Linked DNA regions of Alligator mississippiensis. The protein of the gene in region 1 purifies or fractionates together with the protein of each later gene. This does not show direct contact. Links are inferred from orthologs where the notes say so. Each region holds a gene or a part of one and is shown on either strand. Other genes may lie near its edges.

Region 1 (7,758 bases):
GTAACAGCCTCCATTAGGCTGACATTTTAAAGGGTTTTGAGTATTTAGCTTCTGCGAAAAGTTTAAATTTAGTAATTACCTGATTAAATTATGCCAAGAGAATTATTCAAAGTTCTGGTGTCTACAGGTAGAAGTTTTGGTAGAATGAGTTAGGATGTTTTAGAATTGTTTTACAAAGTAGGATTTCTGTCAGCTGATGAATAGGCTCTCCCCTGAAACACTGCCTCCCCCTCCCCCTTCCTCTTTTAAATTATTTTTATAATACAGTATTTACATTGTTTATAAAGATTATCGTCGGTCAAGCTCAGATGCTGAGAACCTATTTTCCAATATTCAAATATCTCTAGTGGAACTGAAGATAAAATACGCGTCTCAAAGTCAAGTAAAGTAGTAGAATATGGTATTAAAACCTTCAATCCACATTATGTTTGCTTTTACTAAAGAAAAGGCAGCACCATCCACATTGTAATGGTTAGGGTGTATGTATTTTACTCTCCAAAAATGTGCCCCCACTTCTCTAAGTAGGTGCATATATATGCACATGTATGTGTATGGACACGTATAATGGGATAAGTCACTGGCTGCTTATATAAAACAGACTCACAATTAGCAGGAAAACAGGAGTCAGGATCTTCTGGATGAAAAGAAATACATAGGACTTTGCTACTAGATGTTATTTTAGCTGCAGAAGTGTTTGTATTTATACTTTCACTGAGCTTTAGTCAGTGGAGAACATGATCCCTCATGTGCCCTCACTTAAGCCTGTCATTCTGTCCAGCAGAAGGTAGTGGTACACATACACAACAATCAGTATGTCACAGTTGGCATGCATTCTTACAAACACAATTCTCAGTTTTCACCTCCTGCTTACATTTTCATTTCAAATCATTGTCTTTGCTGACCTACTCATTTCAGCCTGAAAAGCTATGACTGAAGCCCAAGTGGATACATTTGCTTCTGATCCATCCTATTCCACTGCTCTCTTGGGTTCCGCTGCAACACCATGCAGCTACCTCCACCATTTCCATTATGAATGCGACAAACTATTTTGGGCAGTTTCCTTAGCATGAGATGACTGAAATTATCTGGCAAAGCAGAAGTAGCTTGGACACTTATAATGCTGATAAACTAAAAATAAACAGAACTATGTAAAAAAAAAGATGTCCCTCATTTAAAGTGCTGTCAGTTAAGTAGATTTGATTAGGTGGTCTTCCTTAAGAAGAGGCATATTCAAGGCAGCAAGTACATTTTACCTGGCTTATATATCAATAAGCTTATATATTGGTTCCATGAGCATTGCCTCAGAAAGATCCTTTGCATTAGATGAGAAGACCACTGAACCAATGCCAACACCCTCTCTGCAGCTACCATAGCCAGCATCGAGGCAAAGATCACGATACATCAACTCTGCTGGGCTGGTCACTGTGTATGGATATCTGACACTCATCTCCCAAAGCAAGTCCTCTTCTCTCAATTTAGTCATAGTACAAAGATCCACGGAGGACAGAGGAAGCGCTACATGGACACCCTGAAAGCACACTTTAAGAAGGGTGGCATCAATCCTACAAATTGGGAATTGCTGGCTGCTGCACCATACATCAAGCTATAGCTCACTTTGAAGAGAACTGTCTTGCTCAGGACGCGGAGAAACGGCAGAGGAGGAAGGAAAGTACACAACATCCTGGCCAACAGCTGCGCCCGCCCGAAGGCACCACTTGTCATGTCTATGGAAAAACTTGCAGAGCACAGATTGGATTCCTCAGCCACCTTAAAACTCACTAGTAATCCCCTCACTGCCCCCAGCAGACATCATCCTCCTATTGAGGGATATCGGTAAAGACCTAATTTTAACCCATTCAAGTCAATGAGAAGCCTCCTTTTGAGTTTAATCAGCGTGGGATTAGGTTCTAAGGCCCAACCTCATAATGCAATGTGAGGCACATGGAAAGACAACAGTACCTGCCTTGAGCCCTGTTGGCAGCAATGGGCAACTACAGGCTCCCTGAGCCTATGACACTGAAGGATCAGGTTGGAGCCAACATGTGCAATTCCCATACTTGAGATCTATAATCTCTATGTGCTTCTCTTTACCTACTGCTTATAAGCACTGATCATTTTAAAGCCTAAGAAGTGACAGTGTCAATTTGAAAATGACATTGGGCAAGATTCACAGAGAAACTTGGATGCCTACATTTTACTGCAGTCCCATTTTAGGCATCTAAATCCAAGAGGGCAGTTTATAGATCTCCAGCAGTCTGACTCCCTTAGGTGTTCAAGACCCCATAAAAGCCTACATTTTCACTACAAACTTTCTTAGGTGCCTAGAGTTCAGCTGCAGGATACATTTGTGTCTAAGAGGTGGGGTTGGGCTTTGAATCCCTGTTTCACATAGGTCTCTAATGGCTGCCTTGATTCAGAATATAGGGAAAATTTCAAATACACCACTCCCACCAGTATTTCCTATTGCCTGGTTAATGTGTCTGTCTACTCAGCATACTGAGTCTTCTGAAGATGAGTCCTTGCACCTAACCTTTCTCACGTAAAGTAGAAGGAACTTAGGCACCTAACCTGGGTTTGTGAATCCACCTTTGGCACCAGGCCCCTATTTTTTGGCTGAGGGAATGCTCTGTGCCATTGCACCTCACTCCCAGTGCAAACCTGGCTCTTGATCACTTGTTTTAAGAGACTCTTTAAGAGCAGCCCAATTAAAGTGATTAGAGAAAAATGCATGTTCTCTCTGAGCTTTTCTTCTTTGGGTGGGGAGGAAGCAGGGGGATGCACATTATTTGGCTTTTAACAGTACTTGGTTTGTTCCGTTAAGTTCAATAGCCTGTAGGTCAGGCTCTTCCCATCAGTTTCACCCTTTGTTGCTATCGAGCCCTCTTTCCCTAGGCCCCCTCCACAGGGTACTTACCAGCAGAAGTAGAGTTGACACTGAAACTGCTGTGCAGCAAACCAGAGTTTGGACCAGGAGAATGGGGCCGTGGAGCCCACCTAATAGATCATCATAAGGGAGTAGAAAACCCTTAAAAAAATTCAGGAGGTGTTGGTTAAACACCGTTCAGCAACTGGAATGAGATGTACCCGATACACTTCCAAAAATGAAAGTTAATGACGTCTCTGCCTCTTGATATGAAACCCTTATGCAGCGTCTCCTTTGAGAACGTATGTATCTCCCCCCACTGCCACTCCCAGGCACTGCGCTGTTTGCTGGACATGGGTGTCATTGTCACCCCCACAGCAATTACAATTACACAGGGTGCCCCTTCACCACAGCTGCACCTCCACATGTGACCATGTAGGCAAATCATTCCATCACTTATCATGTAGATTATCTGCACTGAACCACAATGCACCATTTTATGGCCCCCATACCCTGCTCCAAGACAAAAGAACCTGCTGCTATAGGGAATTTGGCAGGTTTTGCCAGGGTGAGCGGAAGGAGTCTGGGGTGATGGAGGGCACACTAGGGTATTGAGGGTAGCTGTGTAGGGACCCTGGAAGGTACCTGGCACCTGTGCTAGGGTGGAACTTGAGAAGACATAGGTGGATGTAAGCACAGTGGGGAGCATGGTGCTGCTGAGGTAGTTACTGGGAGGTGATGCTGGTTGCTTGAGTTTGGAGGGGTGTCCGGGAGGGTGGATCTACTGTAGTTAGCAAGACCTACACGATAGGGCTGCCGGTTCCCACCCCTCCAGGCTGTTTCTTTCAGCTAGGGGAGGGCAGAAGAGAGCAGAAGCTGAGCTCAGCAGCACCGCAGCAGGACCTTGTGGTAGAAGACCGGCACTGCAGAGCAAATACTTACAGCCTTCACATGGGAAGAGGTGTTGCGCCAGGACCCCACTTAGCCCCGTGAGGGTATGAGGGGCTGTTGGCTTGTCCTGCCCATGTACACAGCCCTTCTCCAAGCTGACTTCCTAGATTAACTTTAGGAGCCCCTTGATCAGAAAGCTTCACACACAAGCAGAGAAGGAACTAGGGAGGGGCAGAAGTAGCTTTACCAGAGAAGCAGAAGCTGCTCCAGTTTCTCTGCTGCAGAAATGCTTTTCCCCACATGCTGTTTCCCTCAGCAGCTGACTGGTGAGAAGGAGGTAGAGGAAGGGGAAAGGCAGGAGGAACAACTTGAATTAGCACATACTGCTGTACTTCCCCTTCTCCACTCTCATACAGCCTTCCCTTTCTGCCTGAGAAGAAAAATGTGCAAGAGAATGCAAATATTTTGCCAGAATTCATGCAAATTGTGCTGTGTCAGGGGTGGAAAGGCCTGGCTTCGGTAGCTTTCCCATGTAACTCAGACACCAAACTAGCTCTTTCCCCTGTTACAGCTGTCCAATCCCAAATTGCTAATTAATCTTATTGACTATAACAAGGTGCATGGCGCAGGGGCTGGAGCCCGGCTGCAGGGGGTTAGAGGAGGCTGGTACGCTGAGTGAAAAGCACAGCCCCTTGATAACCTCTCTCTCTCTTTCTCGGTCTGAGGAAAGACCAGAGGTTTTACCTTTTTTTTTGTTATTTGGATGTTTGCTTTTGTTGTTGCATGCTCTGTTTGCTGTGGGAGAAAGCTTTCCACATGTAAAATAAATGGACTAGAAATTGAAACTGTGGGGTGCAGACAGAATCAACAGTTTTCACCTAATCTGGCCACAGAAAGCAACTTGTAGCAGCGACCAAACACAAATGCACACCTGCAGAAAGCTTCAAAATGGCTGACTGGGTGAAAATATGACCCAGCATTGTATGAGGGATCAGATAAGCATTGTATGAGGGGTCATTTGTAACTTGTGGCTGCAGGGCTCTCAGCTTGTGGGTGTTTGCAGAATGGGGGGGGGGGAAAGGGTGTGGAGGGAGTTCAGTCTGGAGGGTTTTGAGCACCCCTTGGAGGGTGGGGTGGCGGTATTGGAGTCCCCCCTAGGAGTGGGGGGGCTCCAATTCACCCACCCCACCCTCTAGCACTGTCTGGGGTGTCCCAAGAATGAACTCCCTCCACTGCCTTTCCCCTTCCTAGTCTGCGAACAGCGAGCCCTGGCAGAGAGCAGTGGCCATTGCTATAAGAACCTGACTGCAGGCTCCCAGCCCGGCTAGATCCCCTCCCTCCTGGAACCAGCAGTGAACGTCTGTTTGGTCTGAGGTAACGTTGTGACTCAGAACGCTTTGCAGAAATCATTCTGAGTTACAGGGGCGAGCTGCACTTCTGTCTGCACCCTAAGAGCCGACTGGCCTTTGTGAGGAAACTGGCTTTTGGGCCAGAATAAAGGAGGAACGACCCGTTACAGTGACTTTCTAACAAGGTGCCACACAACCCACCTGTGCTGTGGCTCATTCAAGGTGCCCCTCAGTCTAGTTACTTTCTCTTATTCTTTGCACATTTCACCCACCTTTGGCCTGCATAGGTAAGATTTTGAAAGATGCACCTACCATGGGCTTCTACTGAAGGCAGGGTATCTTAGCTTCCTTTTGTGCTCTTTGGTTAGTTAAGCACTGGAGTAGTTTGTCAAAAGGGGCTGTGGAAGCCCCATTACTGGTCATTTCTATGTATAAGACTGTAATGGGATAGATGATCCTGCCTTGCTTGAGAAGATGGGGTTGGACCAAGTGATCTCCTGGGCTGTGTCTGGACAAGTGCAGCCGTGTGGTATGTGGCGCTGCAAACACATCTGTGGTGCCACATACTGCACATTTAGATATTCTCCACACTGCAAGGCTGTGCTGCCCATGTGTGCGTTGCTCCACTTTCTTTTCTGCCATGTTTTTTTACCCCTGCAGTAGAGGAATACAAGCATGGGCAGCACACGCCATTCAAAAGTGGAGCTGGGCCACCTGGAGTCATACCCCGGCTGCCTGCCAGGCTCTCTGCACTGGAATCACCACTGCTGCAGCCCAAGGAGGCCCTCAGGACCCAAGGTAAGACTGCTGGGTCCAGTACTGGGCCCTATCCCAGTGGTTCCCAACCTTTTTTATAGTACAGACCAGCACGGGAGTGGCGGAGCCAACTGCCTACCTCCTGGGGCTGCCCCGCTGCCAGCTTTAGCCCCACACATGACTGCTGGCAGCGGAAGCTGCTTGCTTTGGTGGACAGATGGGGGTCTGAGCAGGGGGCTCCTGCCACGACCTGGCAGCCAACCCTTTATGGCCTGCAACTGGGCCACAGCCTGGTGCTTGGGAACCTCTGCCCTACCCCGCCTGAGGTAACTTGCCGCACACCAAAGTGCGTGTGGCAAAGTGTGTGCGCGCAGGTGTTCCTTGGGGACAGGTATTGGCAGCACAAAGTGTGCCACTGCTACTTGTCCCCAGGGAACCACACATCCTCACTTGTCTGGCTGCGGCCCTGAGGTCTATTCTAGCTTTATGTTCCTCCAAAGTTTTCCCTCCGACTTCCTAGGTGAAAGGACTTCATATATAGCTCGGTTACACTTTATCCATAAACACTATCTTGAAATTTCTTGCCATTATCTTTCCCAGATATTTAACTCAAATTTGAGACATCAGCCCTATATTGTGGTGGCTGTTAATACCTAGGTCACATAACACATAAAGTGGTGCTTATATTTACTTTAAAAATATTTTAAAATAAAGAAGATTGAAGTAAATCAGAACTTTCCTGATATTTATCTTAGAAATAAGCCAAAAAAGGAATCTTAAAGACCATTCAGGGGTGAACATACAACTATCACCCTCCTGCTTCCACATCCTTCCAAAGCTATCAGTTGACCAAAAATGTTATAAACCAGAGTTAAGCTTTAAAACAGTTGAAAAATGAAGAGATGAGGGATTCAGGCAGCTCTCCACTCCCATGTAATCCTCTACTACCCTGCCATTCACCAAATCAAACCACCTAGTGTAGTTGATTATGGGGTACTTGGGTGTTATTTACTGATACCTATTGCTAGTAATACTTTGATAATTTTAGGGCTTATTCTCATGGTTTAAAACTTTAATACCTTAATTATCCTACCCAACAATAAATCTAAAAGCAACAGGGGAAATCTATACATTACAAAGTCCAGAACCTTTTCTCTTAAACTTCTTAAAATTGAAATTAACTGTTGTAATAAAATAGTCTGAATTTATTCACAAACTGCTGGTTCTGCCAAGTCCATTTCCTCAGCCAATCAAAACAGAAACAAAAACAAGAGGGAAGAACTAGCTCACATAGTCAGCTGTGATAACAGTTGCCATCTTTAGGCCAGGAGATGGCTCCATTAGCAAGCAGGCAAAAAAATGCTTGCTCTCTTTTTGAAGCGTTGGACAGCTGGACCAGGAGGTAAGAACCAATTATCGCCAGTCCTCAGACTGGATGCAATTCCTTCTCCCCCTTTTCCCCTCTTCATGAATGACTGGTGCCTCCCAGAATGACTGGGGGGCACCATGGCAGTGAGTGATGAGCGGGGACCACCTGCAGCCATGGCCCGCACCGTCAGTGGTGAGGGATGAGGGGCAAGTGGGCACTGCCCACAGCTGGTGCCGGCAGTGTCGGCAGTTGGGGGGCAGGGTGGCGAGCAGCAGGCAGCAAGCGGGGGCCCCTTGCAGCTGCCGTCTGCTCTGTTGGTGGTGTCAAGTGGCAAGCAGGGACCACCTGCAGCTGCCGACAGCTGTGTTGACAGGGGGAGGGCAGCAACCACCCCCAGAAGCCGGAAGCGGTTTCGACGGCGGCCAATCTCAGGGGGGTCCCCCCCTATGCATCGCCTATGCCCCTCTTTCTTGAACACAGAGGTGACATAAATACAGTGAGCAAGAATGTGTCTAGGATAACTTATTAAG
Region 2 (6,937 bases), on another chromosome or scaffold:
GTTTGAAACTCCTTAGAAACATTTAGGTCAATCTGGTTTATAATTTCAGATGGAAGTTTTTGGATTTTTATTTCATTTTTTTTGTAAATGTAATTCTTAGCTAAAATGGAAGCACAGATGGATATTTCTGCTGAATATTAAAAATTAGGGAACGTTGTAGAGCTATAGAGAAATAAATACGTGGAAGAGAAAAGATATAATTTTTAACATGAATGAACCAAATTCTCTACTCATATGATCCCTGTTCAAACTCACCAGTGCCAGGAAGATTCCACAGAATGTAAAGCAGCAGTGAATTTGGCCCATTATGTTATAATTTTTTTTATAGAGTGCTAAGCTGAAAGAGGTCATAAGCAATGAGGGGTTTGAGGCTTCCACTCCTTTGGCCTAGTGCATTACAGGAAATGCTACTGTAGCTAAAAAATTCTGCCTAGGAATTCTGAGGAAGGCCCTCTCTCTTAAGGAAATAGTGTGGAGAACATGATACGTGGGGGAACTGGGGTGAGGAACAGGTCCACTTGGATCCTGAAGCTGCCCTCCTTTTTATTTGAATCAAAACTTCCAAGAATTTTTCTTCCATTTTTTTATAAAAAAGCAGCGGAAATATAGTTATGAATTGTTCTGTTGTGAGACAGCAAAATATATTTGTCTTTGGGAATTAATATCTACTGAAAGCACTGGAATAAATCTCTAGGGCAAATAGTCTGCCGCCCTTGCTTAGACAGAGCAGTACTTATTCATATGGAAAGTCCCAAGGAAGTTTACGGAACTAATTGGGAGTGTTGCCTGACAAAGAAGCAGGCTTCATTTTATGGTCATTAAAAGGCTAGGTATGTGGATTTCCAGGCTGGCTTTTTAAAGGAGCATAAGTGATCTGAGTAGCAAATCCTTAGTGAATTTAAGAATCTAACACTCTGTAGGCTTCCAAAAATCGCAGTACAAATACTGAAACACTTTGTGTCAGGGTTCCTGTCAGGTTTTCCCTATAGTCCAGCAAACACAAGGTACTATAGCTTTAAATTGAGCTCTAGGCTATAACACAGTTTTATAATGCACTCAAGTTTATAGTGGGTCCTAAAACTGAAGATATTTAGATACAGGAATTAGCTTACTGGAGACACCATATATGACCAACATTTAACACTTTTCTACCTTTAAAACTAGAGTTACTGTGTTAAGCGTATAATTTTTACAGCACCAAACTAAATGAGACATCCTTACAAAGCATTTTTTTCTTGCTTCCTTTAGAAGCTATTAGTTTCTTTGCTATTAATTTAACATATATATTTTCAGAATTTAAAAAAGTCTTCATGAGATCAATATAGAATACAATGACTTTTTATGGGGCATGTTTTGATTTCTAAAAGATCATTTGAAATTATTTGTGCCACAGATTGTGCTCTTGTTTTAAATAATGTGCGTTTGTGCATCTGAGTAGGCTCATAGGAAAGTAGAGCTGGAAAGGACCTCATAAGGTAATCTAGGCTAGACTCCTGCACAAAATAGGATCATCTCTGACTAAACTATCTCTGCCAAGTGTCTGTCTAACCTGCTTTTGACATTTCCAAGGATGGAGATTCCATGACTTCTCTAGGTAGCCTGTTCCAAAGCCTGAACACCCCTGTACTCAAAAAGTTCCTCCTAATCTCCAACTTAAATTTCCCCTGCTGCAATTTGGGGTCATTGCTCCAAGTCCTGTCCCCTACAGCCCCAGAGAAGAGCCCATTTACATCCATCCTCTCTATAATCGCCCTTCTGATATTCCATGACTGTGATCAAATTTCACCCCCTCCCTCCCACCCCATCCCACCTCAGGCTCCTCTTCTTCAGGCTAAGTAACCCTACTTTTTTCAATCTTTTCTCATAAGTCTGGTCTGTCAAGGCCCCGATCAATTTTGTTGCCCTGCGCTGGACTCTTTTCAAACTGTCCATATCCTTCTTGAAGTGCAGGGCCCAAAACTAGGCACACTAATTTATGTAAATCCTCTCACTATTGCTGAATAGAGTGGAAGAATCCCTTTTCTTGATTTCCAAGTGATACTCCAGTTTATACAAACCCAGGATACTGTTGGATTGTTTTGTAATGAGGGCGCATTGTTGCTTTATATTCAGTTTATGGTCTACTGTAATCCACAGGTCTTTCTCTGCAGTACTGAAGCCTCTGCACTACTGAAGCCTACAGTAATGAAGTCTGTATTTGTGCATGCAGTTATTCTGTCCCAAGTGTAGGACATTGCACTTGTCCCTGTTCAGTTTCATCTGACTGATTCTGTACCATTTCTCCAGTCTGTCCAGGTCATCCTGGATTCTAGCTTTGCCCTCCAGAGTGTCTGAAATTCCACCCAAAGCTTGGTGTTATCCATAAATTTGCTAAGCACACACTCAGTCCTGTCATCCAAATCATTAATGAAGATATTAAACAATACCAGACCCAGGATAGAACCCTGGGGAATCCTTCTTGATACCTCCTCTCAACTAGACATAACATGTAATACATATATATCTATATATATAGACAGGTTATATCTATATCTATAGACTTGTTATGTCTAGTTGAGAGGAGGTATCAAGAAGGATTCCCCAGGGTTCTATATCTATATCTATACATATACATACTATATATATGTGTGTGTGTGTATGTACACACACACACATGCTTAAAGTATGTTACAGTCATTTGTTTTTCAACTATTCGAGGGCAAAACACAGTGAAACTTACTGTTTTAAAGTACTCTGCTAGTTCATCTGGGTTCCAAGCAGCCACATCTGAGCGATAAGGAATGTTTCGCAAATCCATTTTAGTTTTAATTTCCTAGGAGGTTACAGAATTTTCATGCCAAGAGTATTGATGAAACAGCATAGACTTCTTGTCTGAGACCACTTCCAGCAAGTTTAATAATCTCCTTGCCTAATACATGCTCAGAACTTCTTTTGTTAAATACTGACTTCTTATTTCTGAATTATGGTGTAAGAGCATTCAAGAGAGCCCCTGCTTCCTCTCAGTACAAAATGGTCTCTTCTCAGAAAACTTGTCAGCTAGTCAGGCTTACCACTTCCTTTATATGTGAATCTAAATAAGTAAACAAGGAAGCGCAATAACATGTTTAAAATATTCTGCCTGCTGCATGTAAGTGAAATCTGTATGAGCCCTTTTCATCTGAATTTAAGTGGGAAGGGTTGTGTATTTACATGAGATACCCATATAAATATACTGGTACCTAGACTCTGTATTGTGTGCATGTATATACATGAGGATTCCTGAAAAAGACTGTTGCTTTTGAGTTAAATTTGCTTAAGTGCAAATGTAGCCATGCGATACCTAAAAAAATGAGGAAATACCTACATAAAGGAACTTTCTTTTGCATTTCTTGTCACCCCAGATGACAGATTAACTACTTATATTAATAAATACTCCCTTACCTTTCTAACGTGTAAAAATAATAACATGTAAAATAACACATAAAACAAATTCCTCTGGCTCATGCAGTTATGCAAGCTCTTAGCAGTAGTCTCTGAAATAGTTCCATGTATTTTCTACAATCATATGTACATAGTCTGAGCGTATGGTATTTTTTATACACAAGGGTACAGTACCAAGTTAGTGTTACATTTGTGCATGAGGATAGATGCTCAGATATAGTTATGGAGTCAATACATAAACAGTACCTCAGTGATATAAAGTCATAATTAGAACCGGAGGAAATATTTAGAAGTTCCAGGTTTAAATGAATTTTTAAAATTAAATTGTAATGATTTCTCCTGCATTTTATATGCAGGCCTAGTGGTCACCACCCTGAGCCTGAGCAATAAAGTATTGAATTCTGAGATTGGTAGCCTAATTAAAAGCGGGCAACCAGGGAACCAACCTGAGGTATTGACTTCAGGAGTGTGCAAAAACAGCAGCCATTGCTGCTGCTCTCTAGGTTGTTATATTGCTAGCAGCTCAGTTGTAGCTTCTGCCTTGTATGCTACTGCTGCCCAGGGTGCAAAACTGTCCCATTATACCTCTGCATGAGATGATAGGGGTTATGTGACAGACCCCAGAGTTATGATAAATTGATCCTACTGTGTTCCTTTAACTCATCTACACTTCCCACTTTCAGCTTCCTTACTGAGACTGATAATCCAAACTTCCTAGCGGCTTTAAACACATTCCATTAAAAAGATACTTTGAGAAAATTTACTTTATTCTCCCTTCCCCTTGCCCCAAAACAGAATTTCCTCCCAAAGTCATGCTGATACAAGGTGCTGTAGAAGTATTATCCAGTCATGGTTTAGTGACAGGGATGAGGTCTGGTAGTTTATGGGCCTGAGTAGGAATAGTGTTTGCTATACAGTATACCTCTGTCATGTATACCTGCACACTTCACACATTTTGAAAAAATGTTACACCTGATCTGTGTAAAGATGTCTGGGTTTTTTTCTTTGAATAGTGGTTTGTTCGTTTTGATAAATGCATACGACATCATAGACAAATACAGGCTGCTGGGGAAACATAATATTGAATTTCCTGTTGAAATTTTCATCCAAATTTTTGCATTAATGTAATTGTTTATCATGCAATTTCCTGTTGTATTTTATCAGTGGAAAATGTTGGTCACTTGCTCAGATAAAAAGGTTGCCCGCCCAGTGTGAACAGTGTGTCTGTGTGTGTGTGTGTGTCAACTGCCCACCATTACAATGTGGGACAGGGTATTCAGTCACGTGGTAACTGAAATAAAAGATATATTTTTTCCTTTATTTCCAGCTTTAGATTTCAGTTAATTACTCATAATTTCTGCCCTCTCACCATTTCCATAGCTACTTTGTTGTCTTCTCTCCCTATTTCTCTGTAGTCACTGTTGTTCCTCACAATAATAATTCTTCCCCTTTCACCTCACCTATCTGACTCGTCTTTATCTTTGGACCTTAGTGAAAAGGTGAGTAGACCAGGTTGAGTTCCATGATGGCAGGATATTGTAACCAAAATAAGGATTAAAGAGGAGATTTAAAGAGTGGATTTAAGTACTGGGAAGAGAAGGAAAGGTTGAAGGATCTAAGCAGGCCCAGAGGGGTTGGTGGCTAAGGCAGCTTGGAGGGCTTAACTGGTAGGAAGGAGCATAGACTGATCCTTGAGAGAGGTAGTCCGAGCGATAGCTGTGGAAACAATAGTGGGTGGATGAATGAGATGGGGCAAGTAGAAAGCAGTAGAAGGGGAAATAGAGTTGATCAGTCACATCCCCAAACCCACTCAAATTTTGTATGTCCACAAGCAAAGAGAAGTGAAGAACCTTCAAAAAAGAAGGAAAAAGGCATGTGAAGTCTTCAGGAGAGGAGAGTACAAGATAACATCCCTTTCACAGTATGCTATGTTGCATGAATTTTGCATCTCAGAATGTCACCCTTTTGTGAAGACCTGCAGTCCCTTAAAAGTGAGAAATACAGTAAACTCTAGTTAATTAGCCTGTCGGATAATTCACCACTACAGTTTAATTTGGCATTGTTTCAGTTCCCTGCCAGAAACCTTGTCCCCGCAACCCCACCCTCCCATCCCTAGTATCAGCTCCTGATAATCACATCACCACTGTGTTAATTGGTTACTACTGGATATTTCACCAGTAGTAGTATTCTTCTTGGAGTGGGAACGTAACCAATTTACTCATAGTAACTATTACTGGTTACTAGACTGAGATAATTTTATAGCTTTTTATCTGAAAAACCTCCACTGATAATGAACTTCACTTTAGAGGGTAACTCTTCAAGTACTTACAAATATAGGCTAACAATGAAATTGCCCATTGGTTATAGCTACACTGGTTTAAATAGTACTTGAGATTCTTAGTGTTTTGGAGCTGACAGTTCAAAAAGGAAGCCCATACTGCCCACGCTCTTCAGGGTTAAAAAAGCATTAACACTTTCCACCCTCTCTTTCCTGTCTGAGGAAGGCAGAAGATTACATCGTGGATGGACCTTATTGGAAGATGGAACTCATGTCTAACTGCTTTCATAATGACTTTTTCCACAACACATTGGTTTACATTTTCATTTTTCCAGAGCTGTCTCATTGCACACATGAAGCTCATAAATCTTTAAATTAACATGAAGTAAAACTCCACAACCCTACAGAGTTGGACATTTTGTCTTTTTTCTTTTGACCAATTTAGTTTTAATACTCTCCAACTAACAGATCTTCCTCCGCTCTTCCTCCACTGTTCCATCCTCAGTTGCATCTGACTTGAAGGGTTTTTTGAATTTGTCATAATTTTCCCTTTCTTAATGTAATCCCCTTTATTCTATGTTACAAACATTAATACAACGCACACTAAAGAATCCTTGTTTTTTACACCAGTTGGATATCTTTATATTGTTACATATTTCTAGCTATCCCTTCATAATCACTATATGGAACTCTACTTCTGTGATGACCTGTAACTTTTCTTATCTATCAGTTTCTTTCCGCTGTCTAGTAATCGCTTGCTTACCCTTAGTTTCATAGTATCATGGTGCTTAGGGTCGGAAGGGACCTAAACAGATCATCAGGTCTGACCCCCTGCCCTGGGCAGGAATGAGTGCCGGGGTCATAACACCCCAGTCAAATCTCTGTCTAGCCTCCTCTTGAAGATCCCCAGGGGAGGAGATTGTACCACGTCCCTTGGGAGTCCGTTCCAGAGCCTGGCAGCCCTAACCATAAAGTAATGTCTCCTGATGAACCTTCTCTCTAACAGTTTGTGGCCATTATTCCTAGTAACCCCCAGTGGTGCCCGAGAAAACAGGGCTTCACCCAATTTCTGCTGGTCCCCCCTGGTGAGTTTATAAATGGCCACCAGATCCCCTCTCAGCCTTCTCTTGTGGAGGCTGCATAGATTCAGGCCCTTTAGCCTCTCTTCATAGGTCCTGACCCGCTGCCCCTTTACCATGCAAGTGGCCCTCCTCTGGACCCTCTCAATGCTAGCCACAT

Evidence for each region.
Region 2: the proteins of FYB1 (region 1) and LCP2 purify together in Homo sapiens (co-immunoprecipitation; 6 studies listed by BioGRID and IntAct, with this or other methods). This does not show direct contact. The link is inferred for Alligator mississippiensis from reciprocal best matches to the Homo sapiens genes FYB1 and LCP2.

What each region holds. Positions count from the first base shown.
Region 1 is NC_081826.1:276,866,997-276,874,754, reverse strand, and holds the start of FYB1 (FYN-binding protein 1), read right to left. Parts: upstream 3,050-7,758; 5' UTR 2,915-3,049; intron 1-2,914. UniProt on the Homo sapiens protein: Acts as an adapter protein of the FYN and LCP2 signaling cascades in T-cells. May play a role in linking T-cell signaling to remodeling of the actin cytoskeleton. Modulates the expression of IL2. Involved in platelet activation.
Region 2 is NC_081832.1:49,569,588-49,576,524, reverse strand, and holds the start of LCP2 (lymphocyte cytosolic protein 2), read right to left. Parts: upstream 3,026-6,937; 5' UTR 2,798-3,025; coding exon 2,720-2,797; intron 1-2,719. UniProt on the Homo sapiens protein: Adapter protein primarily involved in signaling pathways within T-cells, as well as other immune cells such as platelets, mast cells, and natural killer (NK) cells.